2 linked regions of the Tamandua tetradactyla genome follow. The protein of the gene in region 2 interacts with the protein of the main gene of each other region in a biochemical or structural test. Links are inferred from orthologs where the notes say so. Each region holds a gene or a part of one and is shown on either strand. Other genes may lie near its edges.

Evidence for each region. The genes of interacting proteins can lie anywhere in the genome.
Region 1: the proteins of GABBR2 (region 2) and KCTD12 form a complex in vitro, tested with the Homo sapiens proteins (2 studies listed by BioGRID). The link is inferred for Tamandua tetradactyla from reciprocal best matches to the Homo sapiens genes GABBR2 and KCTD12.

The regions. Positions count from the first base shown.
Region 1 is NC_135330.1:144,650,946-144,658,037, forward strand, and holds the start of KCTD12 (BTB/POZ domain-containing protein KCTD12), read right to left. Parts: upstream 3,007-7,092; 5' UTR 2,631-3,006; coding exon 1,647-2,630; 3' UTR 1-1,646. UniProt on the Homo sapiens protein: Auxiliary subunit of GABA-B receptors that determine the pharmacology and kinetics of the receptor response. Increases agonist potency and markedly alter the G-protein signaling of the receptors by accelerating onset and promoting desensitization.
Region 2 is NC_135328.1:15,904,039-15,911,644, forward strand, and holds the start of GABBR2 (gamma-aminobutyric acid type B receptor subunit 2), read right to left. Parts: upstream 3,012-7,606; coding exon 2,697-3,011; intron 1-2,696. UniProt on the Homo sapiens protein: Component of a heterodimeric G-protein coupled receptor for GABA, formed by GABBR1 and GABBR2. Within the heterodimeric GABA receptor, only GABBR1 seems to bind agonists, while GABBR2 mediates coupling to G proteins.

The sequences.
Region 1 (7,092 bases), on a different chromosome or scaffold from region 2:
TAGAGTAAAGGCATAAGGCAACCAGGTCTCCTTCTGTTTCATTTACCTAAAACAGCATTTTATTGCTCAGCTCACTTTTACGTACTTATCTGCCTTCATTTAAAAATATTCCATCTTACAGCTATCTACAGATGGGCAGCCCTTGGTGCTTCCGTTTCTGTGCAGTCCTGTCCCTTGAAAAGATTCCACCTTACCTTCAAACAAATGGCATAAAAGAAGAATGCAAAGTGACATTTTCAGGTTTGCTCAGCAGAATATGTGCTGAGCTTAGGAAAATACGGATTTTTTTTTTTTTTTTTTTGCAAGGGCAGGCACCAGGAAACGAACCCCAAAATACAGATTTTTAATAACCGATCTTTAATCAAAATGAACATATTTTGCTCAAGTAAATAGATTTTAAAATCGGAATTTATATTCAAAAAGAAAAAGTTCAAAAACCAAAATCTCACTGGGTAACTCTTTGGTTAGATTATATAAGTATCAGCAATTTCTAATAGGACTCAAGACAGTTCAAGAACTGCCAGTCAAAAGTAGGTCTGTAGTTAATTTTATAAAATGCTTTGCATGTTTTCATGTACTATTTGATATTTAAAAGAAAAAGTGCATGTACTCAAACGGATGGCAGAAACGTTCAAATTTCAAATAATAAATCAGTATGTCTGCTCCTCCCTTCTTCCTCCCTCCCAGCCTCCCCCCCTCCCCAACCCCAAGTCCTACAAGCTACAGAAGGTCCTACTGCCATACACTGCAAGAATACGGGCTTTCCTTATACCTACCACGTGCTTTCCTACCCAGCTCTGTTTTAAAGTCATTGAGAGGGAACTTTCCCACATGTGCCCTCTTCGGGCGGTGGTGCTTTTGCTCCCTCTTGTCAATAACGTCTGCCATGTCAACTGAAGTCGAACCAAGGGGCTTCCAGCAAAGAGTCAAGGAGAAAGGGTCACGCAGGCAGCAGGGTCACGTTCTACAAGTTTAAGCGACAGGCGAGGATCTTTTTATGCTGTTTGAAAAAGATACGCTCCTCCACTGTGCCAGCACTAGATTATTCTACTTCTACCTATAACTTTTCAAAATGCATTACTTACAATCACCGAATGGCCTCAATAGGGTCCTAATTCTAGGACCAGTCTTTCATTCAAACTTCTAAATAACCACCTTTAAAGACTGTAATGGCCTCTGAAAACACGGTAACTATCCCAGTGTTATCAATTCTAATCTCTTAAACCCCGAATGAGTCATAAGGCTCCAGAAGGTTTCAAGGAATCTTCTACACACTGGACATGTCCAATCAGGTTCTGAACAATTCAGTCACTTCGTGGCCACACTGACCCAGTCCATCGAGACTGAAGGACAATCTGGGGGAGGGGGAGGGGTGGTTTGAGGCAAGGGATGGAGGAAGCTCGGGTACACCTGGGCTCTCTCGGTTAGAGGGGTCCGAAGAAAACGAAGAAGCTGAGAGGGTTTGCAACTGCAAGTTCTGGAATTTGTGACAAAGGGGTCGGGCCCCAGTTTCGGGAGTGAGACGGAGTGGAGGCATGGAGAGGTTGATGGGTGAGAGGGGCGAGAAGGGTGGGAACTAAAATCATCTCCCGGGCAAGGAAAGGGAGGGAGAGGGCGCCGGAGTCCGCGAGGGGGTTCTGGGGAGCTCACTCCCTGCAGAAGACATACTCGGTGTAGCTGGTCCAGATCTTGTCCTCGCTCTGGTCTGTGCTGCTGGCGAAGGCGCAGGTGCCAGTGGAGCTGCACGCCACCATGTGGAAGCCCGACTCGGACAGCTTGTCGAAGGCCTGCTCCAGGAAGTTGAACTTGAGGTAATAGCGCGAGGTGTAGCGCTCAGGGGGCCGATCGGGGTCCCGGCTCTCATTCAGGGTGTCCCCGAACACCTCTTTGGCCAACGACGTCTTGCCGCACACGGTGATGCGCGCCACCCGCCGGAACTTGGCGTCCGCCTGCGCGTCCCGCCCGATAGTGTAGGACCCGCGGTAGCCGATGGTGATGTAGCCCGAACGCCGGCTGCCGTCCAGCGACTGGGACGGCGTGAGCAGCGGGCCCACGGCGCCCCCGGACGGGCTTCGGCTAGCCAGCTCCAGCGTGGGCGACGGCGCCCCGGCCGAGGCGCCCTCCTGCTGCTCTGGCTCGGCGTAGCCCAGCGGCAGCAGCTCGTCACCCAGAGAGCCCTCCTTGTGCACCCCGCTCCGCGAGTGCGGCGGCGGCGGCCCGGGGCCGGGCTGCTGGGGCGCCCCGAGGCGGAGCACGAGCTCCGGCAGTTCGAAGTACTCGGCCTCGCGCTGGAGCCGGCTGCGCTCGGGGAAGTAGTCAGGCAGCACAAGCTGCAAGTCCCGCAGGTAATCCAAGATGTAGCGGAAGAGGAAGCCGTCTCGATCCAGAAAGAAGCGGCCTTTGCTGTCCCGGGCCAGCTCCTGCGGCTGCTGCTGCGTGAACATGCGCCAGAGCAGCGAGTCGGGCACCGACACCACCGTGCAGCGCCGGGTCACATACACCTGGCCTCCCACGTTCAGCTCCACTATGTCAGGGAAAAGCGGCGGCTCGGCCGACGAGGACAAGGAGCCGCTGCCACCCCCGCCGCCGCCCCCATTGGGTAATCCACGTGTGCTGTCCGCCAGAGCCATGGCCAAGAAGGCTGGGGCAGGCGAAGGGAGCGGGGTCGCGCGCAGGAGCCGCAGCCGCCCTTCCCGGAGTCACGACTCCGGAAAGCTCGCAGAGCCCTGAGCTCAAGCCACCGCCGCCGAGAGCCGCACGGTACCTAGCGGTGAGAGCACGCGACTGTGCACCCGGGTGCGGAGAGCCCTCTTCGCCCGCGCACTCCAGGCGAGTGTCGGGTCGCGGCCAGCACTCGGCTTAAGTAGAGCCACCCGCTGGAGCGCCGCGGCGCGCAGGAGGAGGCGTGGGCGGCTGCAGAGCCGCGTATCCCCGCTCCCCCAGCAGGGGTGGGGGTGGCGGAGGGAGGGAGCTGGGAATCGATTTGCATGTTAAACGCTGACGCCGCTCCTGGCTGCAGGCTCCACCCGGGTTTGCGCGCGGCGTGGACCACCCAGCCCACCCCCACCGTCCTGTTCCGCGCCCCAACCCTTTCCCGCTCCCGCCCAACTTTCTCTTCCGAAGTGGAGAAGGCCTGGGATAGGCCACTTCGGAAGAACGGACTTTCGGTTCGAGGGGCACTCACTGCGCTCCCTGACACCCCACCCGACTCCTCCCCGCCCCCGCTGACTCTGGAAGGAGGATGTCAACTTTCTGGCCTAGCCCGGGAGAGGGGAAGGGCGTGGACGCCTCCGGCCGGGCCGCCCCCCGGAACTAGCTGTTCTGAACTGAATTGCTGTGTCGATGAACGTACTTGAGATAGAAGAAAAAGCTGGAGAGTCACAGGAGCCGCCCCATGGGGGGTGGGGGGGTGGGGAGTTGTGGCCGCCAGATATTGTTCTCGTTACTCAATGGCTTCGAGTAAATCCTAGAAATAAAAGGCTAACTTAGAGCGTTCTGCTGCAGGACGCTCTTCGATAGCCGATTTTATGGGTGCGGAGACAAAGTCATTGGTTGGGAGACACTAAAATGGGGGGGGGGGGTGGAATGAGCAGAAATAGCAACCAAGGGAACTAAGGCGAGCTAAAAGAGTGACTTAAGGGCGCCTTCCCCTGAGGGTTGCAGCCGAGGCGTCTTACCTACTGAGCGCCTTAGAAGCCGTTCTACAGGGAATGGGTATAGTGGACTGACAGGAACGCACCATCTCTGGGTACCTTTTGGCCCTGAGTGAATTGTTCTATAAAACTCAGAGGGTTTGCAGATCTAAAGCAATTTATAAAGGCACCGTTCAGCCTTTGGCTCTCCTTTAACATATTTATCCACTCAAAGATCCAAGCGCCTGGGTTCTGCGTGCATCGGTCATTCGGTTCAGGGTGTTCCAGGTTCCCTCCAGTCTCAGGCCTTTGCACATATGTCTGAATCCAGTATTCTCTGAATCTTTCTCGCTCTACATTCGCTTCAGGTCTCAGCCTGCAGGATTCCTTCTCCCCCTGGAAGCCTTCCCTGGCTGCCTGCTCAGAAGGGACCTAGGGATTGATTGCTCGTTACACATGTTGGCATCCATTACGTTTCATTATTTTGAGAAAATCGAATCACTGACTTTTGTAAAAGAAATTAATTTTTTGTTTGTTTAATTCGAAAAGTGTTCCTGAGCACTATATAGAGAGACCAGGAGAGAGCAATGAAGAGTTAGTATTTGTTGTGCACCTACAGACCAGGCTCTATACTAGGTAAGGAATGCAAACTTGAATATTCTCGAAGAAGCTGTCTTCAGTGCAGCGCAGGAGGCAGAGACCCAGAGGTGTGAGCAGTCATCAGATCAATTTGAAGTACAGATCTTCAATCTTGATAAATCAGGTGAGACCCTGGTTCTTGCTAATAATGTTTACCCTTTTGTGTAACTACTCAACGAACTTTCCAGTCTCCTCAGGGTTGTGCATTTTTATTTAGAAATGTTTGTCTGCTGAACAATTAATTTACTTATGGCAGTATGCTGAAATAAGATTAAGCCCCAAACCAGCTTGCTTAACTGCAAGAACAGTTTCTGTTACTGAATATATTTCACCATTCCATTTTGTTTTGTTCTTTGCCATAAATAATAGACGACACAAAAGTTCCAAGTTCCAATGCAGAATTCCTGGGTGGCTGTGCTACTATTTGTTATATCAGTGTCACAGACCTGACAAAACCAGTCTCTTTTCTTTAAATCCAAGAAAAGCCTTCCTTGTATCAATTTCACACTTTTTTTTTCATCATTACTTTATCCATTGTATCAGCAAATCTGTCAGCCCTACCTTTGAAATATTTCCAGACTCTTAACACATCTCACCATCTCCCTGCCACCATCCTGGACCAAGCCACTGTCATCTCTTGCCTGGATTATTTCATTGTCCCCTACCTGCACCTTTGCCCCCATAGTCTTTTCTCATCAGAACAAAACAGCATTCCCATTATAACCTAAATCAGACCATGCGGTTCCGCTCAAAAGCTCCTCAGCAGCTTCCTGTCTCACACAGGAGTGAAGCATAAAGTCCTTTCACCAGCCTACAAAACTCTACATGATCAGATCTGGAGCCACCCCACAGCCACCCCACACTCCCCCAGGAACTCATTGGCTTCAGGCATTAGGCCCTTATGGTCCCCTGGGGGCCTTTGAACTTGCTGTTCATTTTGCCTAAATCACTTATCCCCTCATCCCCACCTCTCCCCCCTACCCTGGCATTACCCCACTCCCCTGCCTCCACACTAGGGATTTTACTTATGTGTTTGTCTGTTTCCTGCATTAGAATGTAAATTCCAAGAGTTCAGAGATTTCTGTCTGCTTAATTCCCTGCTGCAACACCATAACCTAGAACAGAGTTGGCATATAACAAACATTCAATATAAAATATCTGTTGTTCCACCAATATTTATTAAAGGCCTACTATTAAATTCCCAGCAGTGCATTTTTAAAAAGAAATCTTTGTCTTATTGGAATTTTCAGTCTTGTGAAAGAGGCAGATTTCATCATCAATTTCAGATGATAAGTGCCACAAAGAAAACAAAGGAGTGACATGGGATAGAGGGACCGAGTGTGAGGATACTACTTTTATAGAGTGTCTGGAGAACCTCTCCATGAAAGTGACATGTGAACTGAATGATGAGGAAGAGACAGCCATGGGAAGTTCTGGGGGAAGAGCATTCCAGACACAGGGCAAAGCAAACTCGGTTTGTTTCCCAGTAGAACTTTAGTGTATGTCCTGTGAATCTCCAAAGTACTCTTGAAGAGATTATCACAAGCTGAAAAGTGAGTGATACTGCGAGCCTATACACAAGCAGTGTACTATCGCCGTCCTCCTCTTGTTGAGACAGCATATTCTTGAGCTAGTCTACTGCAGGAAAGCCCATTGACTCTTCCTTACAAGAGCCTGAGTTGTGCATGAGAAACATGAAATGAATGAAACAGGTGAGGTGAGACGGAAGGAATAGTTTTCTGGTTAATTTTCTGTATACTATTTCTTGCCTATTGGTTGATGTCACAAAATTCAAGAGGAAATACTTTGATGCTGGGACTTGAGGCCCGGGTGTTTGTGGGGGGAAAGGCGGTCATAAATCTGGCATCTCCAGTATGACCAATAGGCTTTATTAGAAGAAGGAGAGGATTTGGGAAACCACTGGCCTATGTCTAGTCTCAGCCCAGTTTCCAGTGTTGAGTGCATGAAAGGCCATTGCTGCTCTTCAGGTGGCTCTTTGTACCTTACTAAATAAAAACAGTGTGCCTCAGAAATACTTCGTCCTTTTACCTGAAAGTGTGGGGTATAGGAAACATCTCTGAATTAAATTTTCATGTTTTACATTTTTCCTCTCCTTTTCTACCTTCTCTTCCAAACATCTTCCCCTACCCCTTTATATCAAAGCACTTAGTAAAGAGCCTGCCCACCAAAGATTTGAGAAAAGGAATGAGGAATATGAACAGAATAAAGTCAAAAAGGGAGGCAGAACTGGGGTTAAGTGAAGTATGTGCCTCTGAGGAGTGAATGAATTTAATATCCATAAAAACGATTTGCAAGCTGAAAACCACCACCCAGCTGTCAGAATCATTGTTGTCTACCTCCCAGCATGGTACCCGACATGTCTGCTCATTGAATACCGAATGAATAAATGAATGGCAGAAACATTACAATGAACATTGTGAAAAAAATGGGGTACAGATGGAATCAAAAATTGTTGTGAACAAACATTTAGTCCATTTATCATCCTCCCAGTATGTGCAAATCTTTTCTTTACGCAGGCTTTAAAACTCATTTACATCAATAAAATTTTGCATTCAGAGGGAGAAAAGAATTGGATATAGAGGAATTAAAGAAAAATAAAGTTTAATAGTGGTCAATGAGAAGGAGGGGTAAGGGGTATGGTATGCATGAGTTTTTTTCTTTTTTCTTTTTATTTCTTTTTCTGGAGTGATGCAAATGTTCTACGAAATGATCATGGTGATGAATATACAACTATGTGATGATATTGTGAGTCACTGACTATATGCCAAGAATGGAATGTTCATAATTTAAGAATGTTTGT
Region 2 (7,606 bases):
TCCACCCTGCATTCGAGTCTACACTCGACAAGTGACACGGCCTGCCAGTCATTAGGCAGTATGTAGTATCCACAAAGATAGCTGATCCAAAGAAAGCAGGCTCCAAACAGTTTTCCAGGTGTTTGTGGATTTTGCTACAAATGACCCAGACTCATCTTTCCTTTACTCCCGCTTCACTTTTAAAGATGAGGCTATTTGAAAAAATTAAGCAATTGTATCACCTGGGTGTTCTCCCAAATAGGACACTTGCTGCTGGGCAATATTTGGCTGTAAGCCAGAATTATTTTTTTCTGCCAATAACTTCATCAACTCTTCTGGAGATTTCAAAAGCAAATAAGCAGCCATAATATTTAAGCAATGACCATTTTATCACATCTAATGCCACAGCATCTTACTTGTGAATTCATGCCAGGAGAAATCCAAAGAAAGGAGGCAGAAAACATTTATTTAGTGCTTATTGCATGCCAGAGAGCTCAGTGGCTCTGTCCTTATCTTCCTTAAGCCTTGCCCTGCTGCTCTGCAGAGTACATATAATATTCTTTTTTTTTTCAGATGTGGAAATCTAGGCTTAGGGAGATTAAATGCTTCACCCAAGGTCACCCAGGGGAAAAGGAACCAGTTTCTACTAGAACCCAGATCCGACCCACCCGAGTCCACCCTGTGTCCCTTACTGGCCCTCAAAGGGTAGAGATGCTTCCTCTCTGCATGCGGCTGGGGTCAGCCTCTGCTGTCCTCCTTCCCACTGTTTCCTAAATATTCCTACAGACTGAAGAGCCTTCTCACTGGCTCATCCTCTCGACTTTGGGGCCTCTCACTCAGAAAGTCATCAAGGCACCCTTGAAAAATAAAACGTAAGAGCTTCAACGGTCAGAAGCCAAGCATCCATCTCTCTGCTGCCACAAACAGGATAATACAAAATCTCTTTCAGGGAAGCTTTTTAAAGGGAATAAATTGACAATGAAAACATTATGCAGTGGACAATATCTGGTGATGATGCAAGCAGAGTAGCCCTGTCTACAAATGCTTTTGTCTCCAGAAAACCGGCTCTCCGGGGTTCCTTCCAAGAGAATATGTATGCACGAAACAGAGAAGCAGAGTCAAGAAGATAACGTGTCGGTGGCGGCCGTGTATTTGCACTGCTTTCTCCATTTACGTGTATAGGACCAGAACCCCAGGGGACTTGAAATGTTCTGGCAAAGCTGGGGAGATAGGAATGCCACTCAGAAATGATTACACACGGGGGTTAGCCCTGCACGGCCACCCTGTTCACACCCTCCCAGGGCAGAGGCTGCTTCTCCTCCTGCAACAGCCTGCGCACACCGCCACCAACTGCCACTCGCTCCTTCACCTTTTATTTACAGCGCAGAGCAGGCTGGTTCATCAGGGGAGGGGGGAGGGGGCGGGGAAGAAGAGACAATCCAGATTTCTGTTTTCTCCAGGGACATAAAAAGGGTCAGAGAGCGGAGGAAGCGGAGCCCGGGCTACATGATCAGTAAAGCAGCGCGACCCTTCTCCCCAAAGGGGGCTGCACCTGGATTGAGCAGAAGCGCCCAGGGTGCCGGGGTCAAGCCCAGCGAGCGCTTGGCCCGGCTTGGCGCGGTGGAAGAGGCACCAACCGAGTATAGTGCACGGGAAACCACTGCCCCCTTCAGGCCGCGTCTAGGGCGCTACGGCCCGAGCGTAGGAGCTCCCTCTTGTCCCGGAAAACTCGCAAACCCGACCTTGCGCGGCGGGCCACGGCTCCTCTAAGTCCCCTCCGCGCGCCCTAGTTCCCACGTCCAGGTGGGCAGCCAAGTTCCGCGCTGAGCTTTAGCCGGAATAGAAGCCTAGGGCGCGGGAAGGGAGCCTGGGATGGAAGAGCCCGGCATCCCCCGCTCCACTTGGAGGAGGCCGGGAAAGGGAAGCCCGCTGCTGCGCTCCAAGTCCGGGCTCCGGCTCCTAGGACGCTGCAGCTCAGCGCCGGGAGAAATTACTCCTGCAGCCGCCCGACCAAGAGCAGTGGCGAGGCCAGACACCCCGCGCGGCCGGGCCGAGACCTGCCCAGGGCACTCTCTTAGTAACTAACCCGAAGAGGGTCTCCTCGTGAAACCGCTTGGGCTGCAGGCAGCGCCGGGCAAAGCCAGGCTGCAGCGCTGCAGAGCGGGCGGCCCCATACCCGCCCGCGCCGCCGTGCGTACTCCGAGCCGCTGGCGCGCACCAAGTGTCCAGCCCCAGGGCGCGATCGGGCCCCTCGGGTCCTGGAGCCCTCCGGACCTCAGAGCGCAGCTCGGCTGTCCACCAGCCCCAAGTGGCCCGGTTTGCCGTCAAAGCGCCTGTTCCCCCCAGCCGCCACCCTCACAGCCCCACGAGCGGATCCTGGGCAGGGACAGCCACTGCAGGCTTTTGGGGGTCCAGTCCTCGACTCCTCCTTCTCTGGTCAAAGGACACCCTAATCTATCCAACACCCCCCGCGCATACATGAACACACACACAATCCCAGAGGAGGGGGGAATGCTCGGCCAAGCTTGATAGCAGCTGTGCCAGCCAAGCCCCGGGGGACCCCGGCGGGGTAAGCACTGAGCAGCAGCCCGCGGTGCCTTCGGTAGGCGCGGACGGGTCAACCGGGGCTCCGGCCTCAGGCCGGCGGCCTGCCCCTGTCCAACCCCAAGCCCGATCGCCTCCCGGAGCCCCGACGGAGCGCGCGGCCGGACGCTCACCTCGGTGTCGTAGAGCCGCAGGTCGAGGAAGTAGGGGCGCAGGAGCGACTCGTTGCGGATCTGCTCGATGGCCAGTTCCACGGCGGGGAGCACGCCGCGCCCGATGCTGCCCTTGGCCACCTCCTTGGTGAGCGGCATGAGGCCCATTATGGAGAGCGGCGGGCTGCTGGGCGGCGGCCGGGGGGCGCCCCGCGTCCAGCCCCAGGCCCCGGGCGCCAGCGGTAGCAGCAGCGGCAGCAGCAGGAGCAGCAGCAGGCGCGCAGGCGGCGGCGGCGGCGGCGGCCCGGGCTGCCCGGAGCTCGGCGGGGAAGCCATGCCGCGCCGCGGGCTGCGGGCGCCGGCTCACTCGGCCCGCATGGCCTGGCCCGGCCCGCCGCCCCGCGCCCAGCTCTCCCCGCGGCGCCCGCGCAATGGCGCCGGCCCCGGCCCGGGCCCCGGCTCCGGCTCGGGCTCCCACTCGGGCTCCGGCTCGGCTCGGAACGGCCGCGGCGGCGGCGCCCGTGACGGATCAATCACGCCGGGAAAGGGGTGGGAGCGAGCGGAGTGCGGGAGGCGGGGAGCGAGCGAGCGATCGCCGAGAGGGGGGCTGGCGTCTCCGCGCGCGCCTCTCCGCGGCGCGGCCGCCCCGCACCGGGCCACCTCCGCCCGCCCCCGTGCGCGCTCGGCGCCGCTCTCCCGCCGGGAGCTGCGCGGCTGCCGCCCCTGGAGCCCCGCCGGGGGAGGGCGAGCGGGCGGCAGGAAGCGCGGGAGGCGAAGGCGAGGCTGCTCGGCCCGGGCTCGGGCCGCCTCCGGGGACGGGGACGGGCCGTGCGCGCCGGGGGAGGGGGAGGCACCGGCGCTGGCGCTGTCGCTGCGGCGACTGCGGGGAGGGCCGCTTTCCCGCACACGCACACACGCGTCCCCGGCCCGCTGACCGCCGGGGACCGCGCACTGGCACGCTTTCTGTGGCACCTGCGCGGCGGTTTGGGGCTGCTTCTCCGAGGTCTGGCCGGCGAGCGCGCCACGGAGACGTCCTAGCGGCACCTGCAGCCTACGCTCTCCTGCTCCGCGCGGTTGCTGGGGGAGGGGGGGGGAGGCTGGCCGGGCACGCAGGGGCGCCCGAAGACGACCCAGAGCTCTTGCACGCCCCTGGTGCTAGGCTGGCGGGCTCTTGGGGCCTGGTTGGGACCCCCACCGGATGGAGCAGCCGCCCTTTGCCACTCTGGGCGAGGCTGGGGTCCTCAGCTGCGTGCGCTATCGCCCCCTCCAGGCATATGTCCTCCCCGTGTACCCTCTCCAGAAGGTCCCCGCCCAAGACTTCTCCCCGGGTCGGAGCTCTGTTCAGGCCAGAACGGGGTCTGTGCGCCCTTGGCCTTGACCCACTCTGCAGGATCGCATGGGCCAACCGTGGGCAAAACACTCCTGGGCCCCAGATGTTCCCTTGTGAGCTGGCCTGGGGACTTGGGTCCCGTGTGCCTCCCGGTGATTGAAGGACGGGAATCGTGGCCAACAAAATATTCAAATCCCAGGGGTGGTTAAAGAGGAGGGACACCCTAGGACATGAAGTCAGAAAACATCGGTGGACCCGGACACAGCATCGAGGGCCATGTGGACAACCTTGTAACAACACAGGAGTGAAACCTTCACTAAGCGTAGAGCTTGAGGTGGCTTCCAAGGTAACACTCACTACCTCTGAAGGAGGCACTGCTCTCTTCACCCTCCTTTTGCAGGTGACTAAACTGAGGCTCAGAAAGCTTCCCTAACTTGCTGCAGTGCACAGTGCACTAGGAGCTGGGACGGGGGAGAGCAGGCCCCCGGGCCTCAGTTCCCTCTACCTGGCAGTGGGAGGGATGCATTCCTGGCCACTCACCTCCGCTCCTCCGCGGATCCACCGAGCCTCCTTGGAGAGAGGAGGCAGGTACCCATGGCGACAAGGATCACACTTCAGCACAAGCCTGTTCCTTCTGATCAAGGAGATCTTTATGTGTAGGTGTCCACGGTTGTGTTTGACCATTTATGGACAAAAGGCAGCCTGAGTGCAGAGGCAGAAGACCCAAATTCAAGTCCAAATTCAGTTGTTTGGACCAGACACTTCGCCTGTTTTGGGCCTCAGCTTTTTCATCCATAAAATGGGAACAACTGCTGTCCTGGCTCGCATTCCAGAGCAGCCTTTCTTTCCCAAGGACACAGGTACCTCCAAACACATCCCGGACATATCCTGAGGAGGAATTGGGTGCTACTGCGACATGGCAAACAGTTCTAAATAATGATTTTTGTGTCGTTTACTGAAGTGTGAGCGAGCACATTTTCCTTGTTCCTTAAAGTGGAAGGTGACAGAAGGAGGCTTTTCGGTGTCAATAAAAGCTCAGGAGCTGCCCCTATCTCCCCCTCATTCCTTTGTCAACCTACAATGGGGTTCTGAGCAAATAAATGTTTCAGTATCCCATTTGGAGAAGTAGAAAGTACTCATAAATTATTATTATTATAGAACATATTTTTTGCAATTATACATGATTATTATTCAGAGATAAGGGGACAGGGAATTAGCATTTGTTTTAATCTGTAAGCCTGTTTTGAACTCTGAGTAGTTGTTACTGTAAAGTGTTCGCTGATGCAAATTATTGACCAAAAAAATAATAACAGCTACTCTTATGTTTTGAAGGCCTGTTGAGAGCCAGACACTGTGCTAGATGCTTTAAACACATTTGTTCACTGAATTTCATGTAATTTTGGCGTTTTCCATAGGCAGGAGGTAGTATTATCTCCATATCACAGATGAGAATACTGAGCCTCAGAGAGGCTGTGAGATTGCTCAGGGCCATTTAGGTTAAGTGGGAGAGCCCAGCTCCCAGACAATACTTGATTCCAAAGTCTCTCCGCACGAAATCAAGAAGTCCATTTGCCCCAAGGCAGAAATCTCTGCTGACGTGTGACTCGTCCTTGGTAAGAATCCAACCTGGCCTGGGGCGGGACAGGGGCAGGGGCTGGGGGCAGCCCTGAACCGGAGGCCAGGTTACAAGGAAGCAGGAAAGCAACGGGGAGAGGCTGAGATGAAGTACCCTGGACAGCGCCAGGGAAACCAACCTAGATTCTCCCCACCCCAATTCTTCTTTCTAGGCTTCTGCAGGCACTTAACGTGCCCTCGCCCCCAAGCTAGAGGGTTTCTGTGAGCTCTGCATCTCTACTTTTGTCCTGCCAAAGGACAGTGTAATCCCCAGGGTGCTCAGCTGATATCTCACTGGCATCATAGGTACCCTCTATTCAGAGGCTCCGGGCACTTGCCACTCCTTAACTCCTCAGCTCAGGTTTCTGAATGAGCCTTCTCCCTTTTCTCTTTCTTTTTCCCTGAGTCATTTGTGCTTTCCTTATAAGCTGTGCCAATATGGAGTATCCGCCAACACCTACATCTAGGAATAAGTTGAAAGCTGGATAACTTTGCCGGACATTTACTAAGTGGTTGAGGACCCTGCCTGGCAACCTGGCCTTCAGCCCCCTGACCCCACTTACGGGGAGCCACATGGTGCATGCCCGGCCCTGACCTAAGGGGTGTCAGTCTCCCAGCCAGCCTCTCCGTCAGTCTGGCTACAGGCCAAGCTCCGACCTCATACCCCACTTCTGAGGCCAGGGCAGCCCTCTGTTTTCCAGAACCTACCCTGGCCTTGTGTTCCCAGTTTTGGAAGCTGGGTCCCTGGCGTGATTCCTAAGTCCCAGCTCCTGCCTTGGTCACCAGGCTAGAGTGCCTCCCTCTAGGGCCCGAGTCCAGCCTCATGTTTGTAATAATCTTTCATTCACTTATTTAGGCAATGTTTGGGGGGGGGGGTCCTATATTAATGTGCCAGGCTCTGTTCTAGGAGCTCAGGATACAGGAGTGAACAAACCAGACCAAACCCTTGCCCTCTTGGAACTTAGAGGTGACAGATAAAAAATAATAAGCATCATGATTCAGAATGTCAGTTTGTGGAAATCAAGAAAGATAGAGGCTGCTGGGGCAGATACCGTTGGAAATAGGGAGGTTTGAGAAGCACATACTGAAGGACATTTTGAGCAGAGACCTAAAGAACACGCAAACAGTGTTTCAGGGTCAGGAATAGAGAGCACAGAGGCTCTGACAAGTCAGTGTGCCTGGATTTTCAAGGAACAGTCCAGAAGCCAGTATGGCTGGAGCGGAGTGAGAGAGGGGAAACATGGTAGCACCCAAGGTCAACGGCAGGCTGAATTGTGCAATTCTGGGCGCTGTGAGGACTTGGACTTGGGTTTATATGGAACGAAATGGGGGACCGCTGGAAGGCACTGCATGGAGCACCTACTGGGTGAACACCTGTGGTAGAGGGAGAGAAGCAGGGTGACCAGTTAGGAGACTGTCACAATAAGCCATGGGCAGTGGTGAGAACCAGGATGGAAGCAGAGGAGGTAGGCACAAGTGGCTAGATTGGTCATCCTTCTTCTTCTCATTAATGGAAATGCAACATGCTGGCAGATCCCACCTCCCAAGACCCTGGTCAACACTTGCTTCGCATGAGTTCATCTACCTTACAAGAGTTACTTGCCCAGCATCGCTTCCTAAGATGTGATCAAGCACACATGTCAGCCCACATCTGTACGGCTTAAGTTCTCATCTTCTTTCCGTAACCCTGTCTGCTTAGGTAATCTTTTTCTCCCACGCCCTCTCCCTACATACAGAGCCAGTTTCTGAACTCCGACTCAGAGATCAGGGCTGTATCGAGGGATGGTGTCCACTCCCTTCCTGGGAGTTTCAGGGCTCCATGGTCCAGCTGCTTCTGTCCCTTTGAACAGAAACCCACCCCTGACGTCTGGCCAGGCCTCCCCCTGCTTCTGCCCTCCCGCAGCAGCTCCTCCCAGGAACTGGGTCCAGGGTCCCCCCCACTGCCCCATGGCTCTGGCATCCATGCCTGCCTCTTCCCCAACCCTGA